3 linked regions of the Drosophila melanogaster genome follow. The protein of the gene in region 1 interacts with the protein of each later gene in a biochemical or structural test. Each region holds a gene or a part of one and is shown on either strand. Other genes may lie near its edges.

Evidence for each region.
Region 2: the proteins of Kr (region 1) and CtBP form a complex in vitro, tested with the Drosophila melanogaster proteins (one study listed by BioGRID).
Region 3: the proteins of Kr (region 1) and Bin1 form a complex in vitro, tested with the Drosophila melanogaster proteins (one study listed by BioGRID).

What each region holds. Positions count from the first base shown.
Region 1 is NT_033778.4:25,225,055-25,232,021, reverse strand, and holds Kr (kruppel), read right to left. Parts: upstream 5,412-6,967; 5' UTR 5,071-5,411; coding exon 5,034-5,070; intron 4,661-5,033; coding exon 3,189-4,660; 3' UTR 628-3,188; downstream 1-627. UniProt on the Drosophila melanogaster protein: Krueppel is a gap class segmentation protein. It is involved in the segmentation of the embryo and in the differentiation of the Malpighian tubules.
Region 2 is NT_033777.3:13,009,979-13,014,727, forward strand, and holds the start of CtBP (C-terminal binding protein), read left to right. Parts: upstream 1-1,670; 5' UTR 1,671-1,770; exon of another isoform or gene 1,771-2,194; intron 2,195-4,749. Other genes in the region: CG8031 (uncharacterized protein), read right to left, coding at 1,154-1,202; CG11656 (uncharacterized protein), read left to right, coding at 27-106, 186-981. UniProt on the Drosophila melanogaster protein: Corepressor targeting diverse transcription regulators. Hairy-interacting protein required for embryonic segmentation and hairy-mediated transcriptional repression.
Region 3 is NT_033777.3:16,185,534-16,191,354, forward strand, and holds Bin1 (bicoid interacting protein 1), read right to left. Parts: upstream 4,032-5,821; 5' UTR 3,670-4,031; exon of another isoform or gene 1,574-3,669; 5' UTR 1,245-1,573; coding exon 1,179-1,244; intron 1,106-1,178; coding exon 719-1,105; 3' UTR 623-718; downstream 1-622. Other genes in the region: CG8927 (uncharacterized protein), read left to right, coding at 1-293, 356-581. UniProt on the Drosophila melanogaster protein: Involved in the tethering of the SIN3 complex to core histone proteins. Interacts with bicoid (bcd) to repress transcription of bicoid target genes in the anterior tip of the embryo; a process known as retraction.

The sequences.
Region 1 (6,967 bases):
GTTTTTTCAATATAGAATGTGGGATATAGCCCAAGGCTGACAAATAATGGGAAAAATGAGGTGACCCTTCCCACGCCCAATCCATCCGTTTACTTTTAGGGAGCTTATAATAATGTCTTTCTTGGATAAGCGCCAGTCTTAGAATTTGTGAGCAGAAGTCTGCTGGTAAAAATTATAATTTTTCAGTTTAAATAATAACGACAGTAAGTTGGGTGCGTCGGCGGTTCTTTGCCAGCGAAGGCCTTAAATTCATTTTCAAGGCCTTTTATTTTTCATTCCTTTGCGGAACACGAAATATTTAAAAAAATCGTAAACTCATTTGAAAGTTTTCTATGTCCAACACCAAACTATTTACTCGGCAGCTAAAAAAAAAGCTTTTGAGGGTGAGGATTGGGGGTTCGAATAAGATATACGTACCTATCTACACTATAAAACTGGCAATTACCAGTTTATTCCCGTTTCTTCTTTTAACTTATTTATAATAAGCTTTTATTGGTAAAATTAGGGTAAACAGTTTTAGCATAAGGTTTATTTGGCTAACATTACGTTTAACTTTTTAATTATTGAATTGTTTTTATTTACGTATACGCTCATAGAGTATGTTTACAGAAGTCTAAGCGAAAAAAGCCTAAAATGCTAATAAGCATCACAAAACGTGAGCATTTGTCCTGCGTCTCACTCTTTTACTCCGTTTTATATATGTACGTGTGTAAGTACATAAGACGTTCTTTATGTAATACTTGTACATACAATTTTATATAGAGGGGGCTGCCAGGATGAAGCCTTTTTTGGCTGTTGAAAGGGGCACAAAGAAGAGAAGGCGTCAGTTCCGCGGCATGGCTGAACGGGAGGCGATTGGTATGAGTGGGTGGCGTCGACTTTCTTTCATAGCATTGTAGATGTTTGCTCTCTCTCTCTGGAGATTAAATGGAAAAAACACTGTGACATTTTCTGACTGCGCGGCGCGATTTTTATATTCGTTTTTGCTCAGCTGCTGCCGTTGCCTGCAGACGTAAATTTAAATTCCAGTGAAGGGATGGATGAATAAAGGGGGTGACGTGGGGAGGAACGTGGCGACGGCATTAGTGGGGCGTCTTGTGGCAAATGTAAAATAATGCGAAAGGGCTTCGTTTGCATAAATTAAAAATTTATGTAATGCTGCCCGTTTTCTCTTTTACGAAAAATCGAAGAAAGCTGTGGGTAATTTTCTAAAGCGGGGTTGCTACGAATATTTTTTGCTTTACACAATTATCTCATATGTATATACATATATATACATATATATATTTATATTCATTTATTTTTGGTTTCCCAGACAGCAATTTTTAAATTTAACATAATATATTTCGATTTTTATGTAATAAATACATATTTGCCGATGTATACATATGTATTTATTATTGATATAGGTAGAACATTAAATTAGAGAAGAAATAGTTATGACAAAAAGTAACAGTTTCGTTTACTATATGCTAGACTGACATATCTAATGCAATCATGTACCATAAAATACATTTTCTAGTTTATATTTACTGACGTATTTTACAAGGTGTATGTGTGTATGTCTTTAAAGGGTTAAAATTAGCAACCCCCTAATTAACACATATAACTCTTATTTTTTGATACATTGCACATCCCTAGCCACAATTAGGATTATAATTTATTTACATAAAAATTGACTTGTGATTTTATAAATTTAATTATATCTATTGGGTTAAACGTCGAATGTTGCTGTACACAATTAATATGATGTCTTTCGTGCGCTGACTTTCAAATGATTAGAAATGCACTCTCTATTTTAGTTTATAGCTCTTGTATTCTTTTAATCTTGAGGAACTTGTATACCATACATTTGAATGAACAAAGAAAATTACATATTAATTTGTTACATTATTATGACTACAACGTTTTAAAATAAAAGCAGTAAGCTTACCAATGAATAGAACGAAAAATTGCACTAAATTTATTTCAAATTGTTATTGTTATATACAACCTTATATACTTTTATATGTAATTTGAATTGGCCTAGTATTTAAAATTAATTTCTTATTTTAGGTCCATTTAAATATGCATCAAAATTTTAATACATATAAATTGTTTATGCTTCGTAGTTTATATTCCTAAGTCTTGTATATAAATTCAGTTGAATTGTACGATTGCCAAATTGTTGAATGTATATACTGTTTAGCTCACAACAATTTCGATACAGAGGTATTGGAGGTATTTGGTTATAGCAATTTCTTCCTGTGTATTTGGTTCAAGTCTTACAATTAAAACTAATAGTTACGAGTGTTAAGATAAGTGGGATTACTATACTTTCGATACGCATTGATCTACATTAGGTTATTATTTTGGAATATATATTAACGTTTCTTATAGTTTGCAACAAAAAAAAAAAGATTTTCAAAAATGGATGCGTAAACTGTGTTTAAGTTATGGCAATATGAAATAAAAGCGGAATCAGTTAAATATTAACGTTACCATTGATTTTCTTTTTTCTTTATTGTTTATATTTGAAGCAGCAACAATTAAACCAAATATTTATTGAAGTATAAATATAAAAGTGTACATTTAAGAATGATCTTTAAAAAAACAGGATTAACTAAATTTTTATATTTAATAATAGTTTTAAATAGAGAATGCAAACAGAACAATTATCAAACAAATGTTTTTTATTATTTAACTTAAAGTTAGTTTTGATTTGAAGATTATTGGCATTGTTTTCTTAAAGAATTTGATTAAATTATAAAAAATTAAGCTAATAAATTAAATAAAATTAGTTATAGATTTCCTAATTAAACTTCGTGTCTTTTATTTTTCTGCAACAATGCATGTTTAGAGCGCCGATTACTTTACAATTGGCAGCTGTGTAAGCTGAATATGTACAATTTAAGATTCCGAACCTAAGAATATAACTTAAATTTAAGGTAAAGAATGGCACGACATTTTCGATTTGATTTGGTGGGGTTTGGCGGTAACAAGCATACGGTATGGCTTACTTTGTACAATTTCGACTTTTTTGTATGTTATTTTTTTTTAAACTTGTACTTATCATTATATTCCTGTTGCAACAATTTTTACTTTCCACTTTGAAATAGCAAAATTTTCAATTTTGTGTTAATAAATGCCAGTCAATTTCATCAAATGAAAACTGATTAGGGCTATGTACAATTCGGTGTGGTACTGGCCTAATGTTGTTGATGGCCCATATAAGAAGCCGGGGCATCATCTAAATCATACAAGTCAATATCATCGGTTTGCTCGTGAGATCCGATAGAGCGAGGAGAGTGCATGCTCAAATCCTCTGGCTCGGTTTGCTCAGGCATATCACTGGGTACGTGAGGGATTTGCGGTGGAGGCAGCCGGAAAACCCGACGAATGTCCTGTGCCTTGCGCCGTGCGATGTTGCTGCAATGGCCATCCACAGAGCTGGCTCCATCTTCAGACAAATCCAATGGACCATCGTCCTCCGGTGTCGCTTTTTCCATGTCGACCGACTCATTCGAACCTCCGTAGGTGGCACACATTGCCGCAAATCTATTCGTGGATGCCTCGATAGCAATTGCGGAGATTGCCACGGGGTAATCTCCACTCATGGCCGGTGAAAGCGCGGGAGTAGGCGGCGACTGGATGCCACACTTGTGATTCATCAGATGGTGGCGCCGTCGGAACTTCATGTGACACCGTTCGCACTCGAACGGCTTTTCACCGTTGTGTACCAGCATGTGGGACTTAAGCTGATTGGAGTCACTGAATTTGCCATCGCAGATTTCACAAGTATAGGGACGCTCTCCAGTGTGGACTCGCAAATGTCGTCTAAGATTGGCCACCTGAACGAATTGACGATCGCAGTGCGAGCAATGATATGGTTTTTCTCCAGTATGCAAACGCATGTGGGTTTTTAAGTGATGGTCACGAGTAAACCGCTTGTGGCACTCCGGACATTCGAAAGGCTTCTCACCGGTGTGGGTGCGTTCGTGGTTCTGAAGCACGTGCTTATAGCCAAAGCTGCGTGAGCAGATTTTACAGGTGAAGCTTTTGTCGCGAGATGGATCCTTGGAGACACCGACACATCCAGCATTTCCACCCGCTCCGTCGTGCGTTGAATTAGGAGAGCTGCCACTGGAAGGCGGAGATATTGGGCCTCCCGATGTATGGTACATATCGTTTACACTCATGCTGATCTCGGTCTGAAACTCCTTCTTAACCGATAACTTTCGAGCCTTCTTCGCTGGCTCATGGTGCTGGGGAGTGCTGTTGGGGGAATTTAATGGGTGCTTGCCACTACCTAAAGGAGTGGACAGCGGCGAGTGCGGGCTGGCTGGCGGCGAATGTAAATGCGTACCCTGGGGCGGGAGCGACTGTTGGGCAGCCCAAGCCCCAAACAAAGCCGCCGGATTGTGTGGAAAGAGAGTGTTGGCCAATGTGCTCATGGGCAGTTGGGCCATGAATGCGGCAGCTTGACGGTTTGCAGCCAGAAGTTGGGTAGGTGAGAGCATTCCAAAAGCTGAGGCAGCGGCCGCCTGTTGGAGACCCATAGCTGGATAAATCGCAGCGGCGCTTGTAGCTGATGTGTTGGCCGACATGGGGGGCGATAGCGACATGGAACGGTCTAGATGAACGTCCTCTTGTTTTATGCCAGCTAATGCAGCAGCTAAGGCTAAAAAAAAAATCATAAGTTAGTATGTTTTCATTTGGAAATGTCTTAAGAGCAACGGCTTAAAAGAGAAAAAAATTTTACATATGATACATGTGTGAGAGAAAGTTTCGTACGGAGAGAACTCTTAGTGTTTTCGCAGCTCTCTATTTTCGTCTAACTAGTTTTTGTTTTGGTCGATAACGAGTTAAGTGCCGGTTCCTGTCCAAACATGTAAACAAATTCTAACTAATCGGTATGTGTGCAATTACATTACATTTGTATTTTCTATCCTAAAGACATCGGACTGTTTAATAATGAGAAAGTGATCGGGGACTCTAGAACTTCTAGATAGTTTACAAACTTGGGGAATATTTTAATTTGGTCTAATACTTACTTCGCGTTTGTGCGTCTTGAAGCATTGATATGGACATCAACAAATTCTTCTTGTGCTCCTAATTTTGTGCTCGCGCAATGTTTTCCCGCACACAGAAAACACCTATAATATTCGCCTTCGTGGTTTTGGAGCTTCAGTTTTTTAGACAACAAAATTTCATTTGAGCAATTTGTGCACTTTCAGGGATATGAATAATTTTTGTACACACTTTTGTACTTTGAGGTAGAGAGATTTCACAAAAATTGTCTTTTATAAAAGTTTACCGATTTAGCAAAATGAGGTAGTTGAAATTTGATTCGATTATATTACTCGCGGTTGTGTGTGGCACAACAAATGGTTGTTCCTTTCGCTGACAGAGCCAAATCACGACTGATACAAATTCGCTGCGTGAGCTAACTATAAGTACGCTCTGTCTCGGCGAAAGATTCTCACTCACCCTCGTACGCACACACGCCGGGACTCAATTGGCTCTCCCGCTCACACGCACGCAAATAAGGGTGCAGACAGGAAGGGAAATCATCACGGCGAAAGCGAAAAACGATCCCCAAGCCTGAGCAGGTAAAGTAAAAACTGGGTACTTCGCTGAGTTGAGTGAGTTGATTTCATCGATTCCTTTTTATACCTAAAAGTGCTAATTTTTCATATGCAAATTGGTGCGAATGAGACAGCTAGAGGTTCCTTTCAATGCAAAAGATATATAGTCAGTTAGAGTCAAATATGGACGATGTGGTTTTTTAACATAGGTTGTCGATGCGAATTATCTTCGCTGAGTAGAGGGTTTTATGACCTTTACGTTTCTAGTCAGTAATAAAACATAAAAAATCAGAACTATGTGTTGACCGTTAAAGGACATTTTTTAATGCTTATGACCACTTCCGCTTGTGTTTTTTAGAGCCTTCATAAAAACTGCACTTGCAGGAATATTACACCACATAAAGATCACGTAGAAGTTTTTAGAGTTAGTAAGGGACGCACAACAAAAACTCACTCAGATGTGCCTTTGTCATTTCCCCTTTTTACATTTGAGCTATAGAAAATAACTAATGTGTCTAAGGGGGATGAACGCCAATGGAGAACAGGGCGAAAATGAAACAGCGAGAGCAAAAGAGCCAAAATTCATGAAAAGAGATGTCACGGACGGGGTTGAATTTCAAGCGTGCGCTGTACGAGTAAACAGGAAGTAAACAAAACATCGGCTTAAGGAGTGCAGAAAGTAAGAAAGAAGGTCGACGGTTTTTTACCAGCTATACTGAGTGAGTTTTTTGTCTTCCTTGTAGCCTGTTGAGCAAAGTCTCAAAGACGTGGAAGTTCAGTTTAATGGACAACTAATTATTGGCACACGTCTAAAAAAGAAATCGTAAAAAGGAACTAGTAAAAAACGGATTCAGGTAGAAAGGAAATATAATAAAAAATTGTAAGAGAGCTGCATCGTTGAAATTTTCTTGCTTGTATAGACGTTTTCTGTGACTTTTGCGGATTGACTTTTAAATGGTTTTATGTAGATTTTTATGGCAAGGACATGCTATGTTAAATTTATGTTGAAAATCGGTATTTTTGGTTTTGTAGGTAGGCCAAGGACGCTCAGAGCTCACCGGGTGGTAAATTTGAACTACCGTGGATTTTAAGAAAGTGAAACCAAACAAAAGCAGAAAGGCACACAAATATCCTTGCTCTGCATAATGTTACGTAAAATTATAATGGTTTTGTCATCGAATGTTCGACTTCATAGAAAGTTTTTCACCAAAACAAAATTCGCAGAAGGCATTAAATAATATGCAAGCAAAGCGCTTAAAACTGACCCTATTGATAAGAAATTCTTAAATTTCGGGCTGAGCTGACCGGTTTTAGAAAATCTTCATACGATTCCTATGTTTCGGCGATTAGTCAGAAATTTTTTTTGGTTGTTTGCGTGATAAGCAGAGGCTTGATATTGA
Region 2 (4,749 bases), on another chromosome or scaffold:
TTTAAATTTTAGTTGAACATTCCGCGATGGAAACTGATAAGGAAAAACAAAGCGATGAGCTCATGAATCGCATTCGGAACGAGCTTACAGCTATATTATCTCAAGAGTAAGTTATCAAGTTACCCAATATATATATATATATATAAAAGAAGAAAAAAATCAATCCATTTATAATCCTACAACAGGGCTGCTGATGATTCCGACAAGGAGGCGTCACAGGAACTGCTCCTGAGTCCCAATCCGCTGCCCATTTTCGGGCCCATAAGGAAAACAAGGAAAGCAAAATCGAGGAGTTCCAAGAAGAACAATAGTAAGGCCTCCTCCTCGTCCGCTGGCAGTACAAAGAGTTCGTCGTCGGGTACCAGATCATCTGAAGATCGTTTAACTGGAGGTGGAGCCCAGGAGAAGCCATCGGATCCGGTCTCCACATCCTCGAGCTATTCGCTAAGATCAGGATATGACGCTCCGCCCGTGGAGGCCAGTGCCCGTGCCGACTTCCTTGAATCGCAAGCGGCCAAAAGCATCGACGAAGATGTCCGGAAGATGCAGCTGGAGCTCAAGCAGAGCTACGAACTCTTCCAGGGCATTGGCGAGAAATTGGAGTCGGTTAGCTTCACGGGCTTGAAGGACCGCATACGGGACCTGCACCTAAACGAATCCAACAACGAGTTGGGCAAAGCGACGACTGCAGAGCTTCAGATGATGTTCGACCAGCGTTTCCTGCAAAATCGCCTGGACAAGCTATCCACGGACGCCACGCAGGGATTCCGTCGGCATCCCGGCGAATTCGGCGACATACCCGAGCTGAGCACCTTCTTCCAGGCATGCACTCAGTTGGAACGCGGACTGGATGCACTGCGTCAGCAGCGGCGGCGCAACAGCGAGCTGGAGAAGCGTCTGTGCTGGGCCACCGAAATCGCATACGATCGCATGGACGAGATTCGCAATGCGGTTGGCTCGGATCCGGAAAAGAACTTCTGAATTGGTGACCTGTAGTTACATTTTTGGTTCACCCTAAGGTTCATTACCCGCACACAAACACACACACAGGCAAACACGCACAGGTGCAATACATATGCGTTTATCCCACACCCATAGGCGATGCAATAATTGATTGTGTTATCTTCTGGGCCGCAGCTGGGTTGTTACTCACCCGAGTCCGTGTACCAGCTGCCTGCATGGGTTGCTCTTCTGGCCGACATTTTGTGCGAGATCCCTAATCGGTCTGTTTAGTTAGTAAGAGCTATTAACTGGCCGTTACTTGTAGAAAAAACGAGTTCTTTGTTATTGGTACAGCAGTGTGACCGTCGTCTTGTTTTTGAAATAAACACGTTCTCTGGATTCGCTGATCAGCGGTCACACTTCTTCAGGGCTGCATTAAGTACTTAAATATCGTTTTTTTTTTGGTATAATCATATATACCATTAATACTTTTTTATTATTCTAAATAATAAATCACACAAATAAAATACAATACATAAGGTAACGTAATTTTATTTAAGTGTTGTTTTTTATTAATTTCCATAAATGAAATCGCATAACATATACAACTGAAACTCACGGAAGTCGAAAGTCGGAATTCTGCAATACCAACATTTCAAACTATACCATAATTCTTGCAGTTTGCCTGCGCGCACCGAGGTATTTTCGAACGACCCGTGTGCGGTCACACTGTTCGCATAGCGTCATTGCTGTACTAAAACCTAAAAATCCGCCGTGTTCGTATTCCGCCATTTTGAAAGCTGCGAGTGGAATTTGGACGCGTTGCTGGTAAATTAATTGTGGGAAAACTGCCCAAAAAGTGCATAAAATTTGTGAAAAGTGGTCGGCAACGGTGCATGAGACCCGCCGCCAAGTGTTTGTCCCCGAAAATTGTGTGTGGCCGCGTTTTTGGCACGTGAATTTCTTGCCCAATTGTGAACTCGCAAAAAAAGAAAAAGAAAAGAGAGAAGAAAACCGACGCCGCCGTCGCCGCCGCCACAAAGGAATAGGCGAATAAGCGAGAGAAAAAAAGGCGAAAACGAGAGCTGAAAATCAAATTGTGCGCCGCTGATTGCGTTTCAGCTATTTAATAATACCACAATCGAAAATCCGCGGCAGCGGCGATTTTTCCACGGATTACTACACCATATATTTCCCATTTGCCTTTCCGTTTGCAACGAGTGTGCGCCTGTGCCTGTGTGCGTGCGTGTGTGTGAGTGTGCGATAAACGTGTACAAGAAAAATTTAAACGTGCAGAATTCTGATGAATTTTAAAGCGGAACTGCTATTGCCTGTATAGGTGATGCGGGTGTGCGTGTGTGGGTACGCACACACACATGACCAAGTATTGTTGCGGTTTAATGCAAAAGTCGAGTGAGTGCGTGTGTGAGTGAGTGAGAGAGAGAGAGAGAGAGCAATGCCTGCCATATTCTATGCAAAACATAAATAAAATTGTGCAATAATTTCCCCGCACACGCACACAGCCACAGATACATACACTCTCTTTGTAATTTATATTTTTTTCCGCCCGCCTAGTGACAATACACACGCAAGGTTCACTGCGCAACGTCCCCCTTTTCTCAAGCACCCCCCTTTTGCCCACGCCACTGCAACATGCTGTCTCATCGTTGTTGTTTTGCCGCCGCCACATTTGGTGCGACAGAGAGAGAAAGAGCGAGCTAGCGCGAGTGCAAGAGAAAGGGTGGGAGGGAGAGGCCAAAAGCAACGAGTTTGAAAACCAACTAAAGCCTCATGTTGACACATTTCAACCGGGAGTTTTCGTTCTTTCGCTCGGATTAAAAGCCTTTAAAGGGTGAAAGTGCTGCTTATCGTTTCTTCTTCGCGAACTAAAGCTTTAAAAGTATAAATAGCTTTTATTTCCTGCGCCCGCATATTGATTGCAAATTACAAGCGCACACACTTACTCAACAACCGTTGCGATTGTTTGTTTGTGTGTGTTTATGCCGATTTGAATACACAACCAAGTGAAAAAGTTTGATCAACTTACGAATGTCCATTCAAATTGATGCTTGTTTCTAGTTTTCTTACAATTTTTGCGCTTGTCGTGTTTTTGTCATAGCTTCTTCTATCTCTATCGCTCTCTCTCTTCTCTCTTGTTCGTTCGCCCTTTCACTGTTCGACGTGCCTGTACCCATCACACACATACAAACGTATACGTCATACACACACACACACGCACACATGAAGAGGCAGACAGACAAGCAACTCTGGGCTCCCCCCTCCCTAAACCTCTCCCCTCCCAGCCACATACTGCCGCACTTGCAACGGGAATGTTGTTGGTATTGCTCGCAGTGCTCAAAACTCCGAAGAGGATTACAAATGGTGTTTTTGTTTTTGCCCAAAAACGGAAATACAGACAAACTTCTGCCACATAAAGAGTTCAAATTATAGCGACTGTTAGTTGTTTAGTCATTTGTTGTATTCCCCGCAACTTTTTGCGCACTTTTGGGGTATCTAGACTGATTACAAACCCTTAAAAGCAGCAGGCACAATTGAAATTATTGATTGCCTTAAAGTTAAAGTTAATTGCGGTTATGAAATTTTTGGCTAATTGTTCGTCATTGGGCAAAAATGAAATGCTGAGGAATTTGCTTTATAAAAACACTTAAATTTATAGTTATTAGCCACTGAATTTGTATTGCAGTCGTTAAGAATTCTTCCTACCCAATGTAGTTTTCGCTATAGAATAAATAGAAATATGGAAATATGTGGCAGAGAGAGCCGCTTTTCCCGTTTCCACTTCAATATTTGCATTGCCATGGAATTTTCTATATATATAGTCCATCGATAACTGTACATGTTGCTGAATTTGTTGTTACTAGTTTTTTTGGCGCAACAACGTTTTCCGCTTCTTGTCACTGCCCTTTTTTGGCAAATAATAAATTTGATTGTGTATGGGCTGCCCACTCCCACTAGCTAACGGTTATTTATTGTCAATGCCAGGCGATGCCGCCCACTGCCACGCCTCGTACGACCCCCCCCCCCAATCCGTTTGATGCTCTGTGTTTTTGCGCAATGTTTGTTGTTGTGTGTTTGCCGCCGACTGCGCGCGTGAAAAAATGCACACCTGCCCAAAGAATTTCACACTTGGTGGTGCACGGGGCGCAAAACAAAGCGAAAGCAGCCACCAAAATAGCAGGCAAACGTTTAAATTTAAACACAAAAGTCCGAGGAACTAAAATTCGACCAGAAACACAATGGCAGCCATGTGTGCCTCATATTCTTGTATTTTTTTTCTGCGCTCTATCTCTATCGATCTGAAAGGCAAATACAACGCAATTCGGTTGATGGTACAGGCTCTAATACCCTTAAAGCTAAATTGTCCAAGTTATAAATTTGTTGAAAATGAATGATAGTTTACAAATTCGGATGTCTTTCATCTATTCAGCGGTGGAAAGATGTATTTTGGCCAGCTAATCGTTGCATGTTTGATGGCAAACCTTTCGCCATATCTGCTATACTCCTGCGCAAGCACTTTTCAAATGAAAACAGAAAACACACACTTTCAGATGGCTCAGCCAAATTCGTCCAAAACAACAGATGCAGCGATATGGCAACAATAATAAATAGAAATAGCCAAGCAGCCGCAAAACGCAGAATCAGCAATTCGTAAGCGTGCGAGGCAATAATATATACATATATATATATATATAAATTGTATTTCATTTGATTTTTTCCCACTTCTGGTCACTTGCCACTCGGCTATGCTGGCTTGCAGTTTTTCGATTTGCGTCATTCGCAGACCGC
Region 3 (5,821 bases), on another chromosome or scaffold:
GTGGCTGTGATCCGAACAAGACCAGCGTCTTCCGCTGCCCTACGACCTGAATCACCACCACCACAGCCTATGGCCAGGCCACGCCCTAAGCCTGTCCAGCCGCGTCCCATCATTGATCAAAATCAGCTACAGGACGATCACGTTGACCAGCAGCAGCAGCGTCGCCGTCAGCCCGTTTCCCAGACCATTCGCAAGTGGCGTGAGGAAAACGAGGACGGAAGCATCACATGGGGCTATGAGAACGACGACGGATCTTTCAAGGAGGAGCTGATCGGCACCGATTGCATCACCAAGTGAGTAAAACAGATTGAATCCAACCTCTTTCTCCCACTTACCCAAACTTCTCGTTCACCAGGGGAACCTATGGCTACGTTGATCCAGATGGCAACAAACGTGAGTACCACTATGAGACTGGAATCAAGTGCGATCCTAACAACCGCAACAACGAGGAAGAGCTACAAGAGAACGGGTTCGTCAACTACGAAGAGAATCGCGCCGTGCTGCCCAATGGTCTGGAGATCGACATGACGCAGTTGGGCAAGAAGAAGTCGAAGCGCCCGAACGGCTTTTACAGGAACTGATACTCCCCACAACATATAGTCCCTTAAGTCAAGCAGCTCGTAGTTCGTCTTACTTGTATTCCACTTATAATTATGTTCATACTCCATTGAGTGTCAAGTGAAAGATTAAAATGATTAGAATAGATGAAAGTGAAGAATCAGTACGGACGCTGGCGCCTGGCGGTTGGCGGCAGTCGGTTGGGCGGAGTAATCGAGATGTCCAGAAAGTCTCCAATGCTGAATTTGGCCTGAGCAAGTGTCTTATTATCATCGATTCCTTTTTGACCCGTGCAGGTCACTCCGATTTCGCGCATCTGGAAGTGATTACTCCGGAAGTTGGGGTACACGACAGCAAAGTCAAAGTAGGTGCCCTTCTTCCGGGTGTCCGGATTGACGTCTCGCACCAGAGAGGTCAGTTCGTGCAGGGTGGCGTCTTGCCAGGTGTAAATCTGAAGCTCGTTGGTGGGCACGTTGCCGAACATATACTCCGACACGGAGTGGTGTCGTCCCGTAGAGCAGAAGACACGGAGCAGCATAGGACAGGTCTGGAAAATACATAAACTTATTAACACATCTAGAGCAAACGCGAAGTAAACATGACCGGGGTCACAAACAAACCTTCTCGCGGTCAATCTGCTTGACCTGCGTCTTTTCCTCCACAATCATAGATTCCACGTTGGCCATGTCTCCCTATTCTGCGGTATATCGTTACTAATTTTCTTAATTTTAATACAAAATGCACTTTTAATGCCGTATATTCCGGCTTCTCTTTGCTCTTTTCGATAACTATATAATCGAATGCAGCAATCCTATCGCACATCGCCGAGTGTGACCGCTTGTCGCATACTTATCGGGTTTTAGTTTAATCGATGTTTCCAGAAGCACCAAAATTCGCCGTTTCTCAGCTCTAGTCCGAAAACAAAATTCGCTGTGAGCGGTTGTGTCGTCGAACGTGAAACTACGCGTCTCCGCGAATGACGCAGACTGGAAGCTTCCACTGGCATGACAATCGTCTAAAAACATTCAACAATAGCGGTGCACTTGCAAATTACTGTTGCCGCAACAACAATAACAACTGCTTCGCTAAGCAGTAGCTGCGACCACAACAACAAGGAGGAGAGCAACAACAACGGTGGAGAAGAGCCGTTTGTTATTGGCGCATAAAAGCAGAATCGCAATTTGGCCACTGAATAGTTTCTAAAAACGGTGAGTACATTGTGGCAGCGGTCCATTTGCATACCGAATTGAGATTTGCACTTTTTGCAAGAGTTTCTTATGTAACGGCAACAGCAGCAGCAGCAGCAGCTGAGTTTTACGTGCAAATTGTTGCCGTTGCTTTGCTTGTGTTGGTGCCGCAGCGTCTGCGAAAAGTCACCCTCTTTGCAACCACCCTTCACCCCCCCTCATATTTCATTTATGCATCGCTCTCTCGCTCGATTTGTTTATAAACATTCAGGAATAAGCCGCTGCTAAATACTGAACTGTTTTTATCTCAAGAAGTACAAGGTTATCCCATCCCCAGCCACCCACTTTCGATCTCCTCATTTTTATGCATGCGCCATCATTTGCCGATAATAGTGCCATTCTGTTTGTTGTTCTAAATGTTCTAGTTATTGCAGTAGCGTGGAAGGTGTGGTCATATGGTGGTTTCTATTGTGTCAACAAGGAATCAGTTTCCCAAAAGCTGCATATTTGTTTTTATTTTTAGTCAAATACCAAGAAATAAGTCAATCCAGACATTTGATATTTTTAGAAACGGAATAAACCCCGTTTAAGTGCACAGAAACAGAATCTGTGATTACCCTGGTAAAAGAAAAACACTAGAAGGGGAAAATACCCCACTTGAATTAACCCCCTGCTAAAGGGTATTTTCGCTTCGGCGTGTCTGAATATTTTTAGTTGGCTCGTGTTTTAAAGTCCTCGAATCCACTCCCACCTCGTTGATCCTGCAGCAGCTGTTTTTGCCACAGTTCCTGCTGCTCTTGCGTGGGAGCAGAATGTTTGTTGTTCCTGCTGTTGTTATTGAATCCCCCCTCCCCCCCCTTCGTCCTTGGCCATTGTTCTGTGGACTCGTTTTGGCCGGAGCGGAGGGGTTGCAGCCGTGACCGTGACTGACTGCCCGTAACCCCAGCAACGACCACATAGTGGACGATGTTATTGTTATCGCATACTTTGGTAACCAGTGCACTGTGGTCGGGATGACCAATATGAAGTAAGACGCATTAAAGCTGTTTCTTTAGTCACTTTAAAAAATGAAAAATTTATAAAGATAATACTCAGCAATACTTCTGCGACAAATTCACATTCGTAAATTATTCAAATTTGACAAAACAACGGAATGTTTAAAAACTTTATAGTCTTTTTAAGTTAGAATAAGTCTTAAGTTCTAGAAAGACCCCACGAAGTTGAAGAAAATGTACTTTAAGTGAAGTAAGTCTTCAGTGGCTTCAGTGGAATCGTATGTACTCGAATCGGAAGGTGGGTAAAGATGTGAACAATAAAGTAATATGTTTTTCGAAATTAAATTCCGCCCACTGTCCGTGTTCGTTGCTGCGGCTGCTGGCTGAATTTTAAACGTGCCAAGTCCTTGGTTGTAAACTGAAGACGTGCGGTGTGGGGCGATTTGTTGCCACTGTTGCGGTCGCTTTGTTGCTGCCGCCTTACTTCGTTTTCGTTATTTTTTCTCAAATATTAATTGCTTTGAGCAACAGTAGAAGCCCTTGGCTACTGCTCCAAACCCAATCACTTCGAATTTCCGAAAATTCCCCAAGCAGCAGCACAACGAGTTTGGAAAAGTGGCAAGGCGAAGCAGACGTAACCGAAAGCAATAAATTCACAAATGCAAATAAAATGCGAGCTTTGCTTCAACTCCTGTTCTGTATACATATGTATTTGATTCTATTTTTTACCCGGCCAGTTGACAGGGGCGTGTGCGTGGGCGTTTCTACTGCCAGCCGCACAACACAATGTCCTGGGTGTAAGTCTCGACCTTGGCTTTGCATAGCGACCTTTCGCCAATGCCACAATATATCCCCATTCCTACCCATATCCCTATTCCCCGAATGCCCAGTGGTGCCCACTTGTTTGTAGCGAGGACAGATTTACTTGCCATTTCCAATCCGGGGAATCCATTTCGCAGCCAGCTGTTCAGACTTTCAGATAAAGTGCACGCTTAAGAGAATCATGACAAATTAATGCTTGTGAATGAAGTGGCAAATCATCGTTTCATGGCCAAAAAGGTCGTATTCGAAGAAGATCTAGAATTAGATATTGGAAAGAACCTGCAGCAGATGGCTCATATTAGAAATATCTAAGAAATGTGGCTGGTTATTAACGTATAATTCCATTAGGGTCTTGAGCACTATTGTATATGTCGGCGAAACAGGAGTCTCATCCATATTATTTATTCACTTCGCGATTTTGTACGTCAGCGCAGCAAGTTCCGATCGACGTCAGCAGTCAAACTTCACTGAAGGGATCTTCTTACATGTCCCTTCTTCATCATATTCTCTAATGGCTATACACACTGGCGTGTGCCACATTGTCATCTCTCTCTAACACACTATTTATGACCACTCGATCGGACCTCACTCAGCTGCAGAGGCTGTTCGTGCCTCTGCCGCAGCGCTCGACAGAATTTTACCGCAATATTACAATTTCATCAGAATATGAAATCACAGAAGGAATTTCTGGAATGCGAAGAGTCGCGCTCCGACATATACAATCATGCTGATAATAACATTGATTTTATTGCACATTTAATTGCCTTACATTGTATTACACTTTCTAGCAGTATTCAAGATTATCTCCTATTATTTATAGCAATTTGTTAGTTGTTACTCATGCATAATGGCGACTTAATATTATATTTTAAAATTGTTTTTTTCTTATGTTAATCTGGATTACCACCCCACTTCGTGATTAATTCTGAGCGGAGAACAAAAACACTCTGATAAATTAAGTTGTAAACAACTACTTTCGAAAAGCAATTAAAAAATTTATTTACAGTATTTCACGATAAGGCGAATAACAAAACCATTAACTTGTTAATGTGCCGGTACAAACTATTTCCTCTAAAATGTTATCAGTTATCTGATTACGGGTTGATGTGATTGATTCCAAATATAAGTTGTTAAAGATTGAGTTATTTTAAGAATACCCGCTGATAACATTTCCTTTTGTGAAATTTATTGAACGGTCGTTCAATAAAGAATTGCCGAGAGCATTCTGATTACCATTCTGCTGCAAAAAACACTCGAAAACAACCCGTCTTTAAGAGACTGCAAAAGGCCAAGGAAAGATCACTCGTCTGTGCCTTTGATTGCGAACGACCACTGAATCGATGGGAGAAAGATATGGGAGTGCGTATATGTGGCCAGAAAATTATGTATACGCAGCGTTTCCTCATTGAGAGGCGCTGCTGACGCAAAATAAATGAAACGATTTTAAAATAAAAGCAACTCATAATTTTTGCCCCTACGATTGGTGCCTGTGTTGTCGCGTCTGTTGTCCATTTTATGCTATTTCTGTTTGCGTTCGCTTTTGTTTTGTTTTCCATCTTCTTGCCTTTTTGCCAGGGTTTTGCCAATTGATGAATTGAATACGTACAGACCGCTGCCGTCGGCTCTTTCGTCAATTGGCTTGACTGGATCTAGCTGCAGTTTGCACTGACGTCACGTCCCAAAAGCAAAAGTGCCCCTAACTCACTTAACACATCGGCCTGATTGGCAGCGACGTCGATTCCATTCGACTGTATATGCGCGCATACGTATGTTCTGCTTGACTTGAGGTATACTTGAGTTGTAAATGTCTCAATTAACCATAGTAACAATAGCCAAATGTTATCTATGGAGTCTAAATACGTCCATTTGGTGCGTCAGTGGGGACTGTCGTCGCGATAAGAAGCGAATCGAGGGAACTACCGTGGCCATGATTTACGATAACCAGCGGGTTTCAACCGGTTGAACTCAACATTGAACTGCTGATAACACTTGCTTAAAAGCGATTTATTGGAATATTTGCTGAACAGGATTTTAATTCCTTCCTTGCTTGGAAGCAAGAACCACTGTAAACTTTTGGTAATCTCTTCATCCTACCCAAATCACCGAATTTCGGCAGCACATGTCGGCGATGGCGGCTCCTAATAGAAATCGCTTTTGCATAGCCAAGTTGGCCCAAACTATTTTCATGTCAAAGCGCTGACAAGACGGGCGCACACAGAAACCTACAGATACACAGATACATTTGCACTTGGAGCCGCA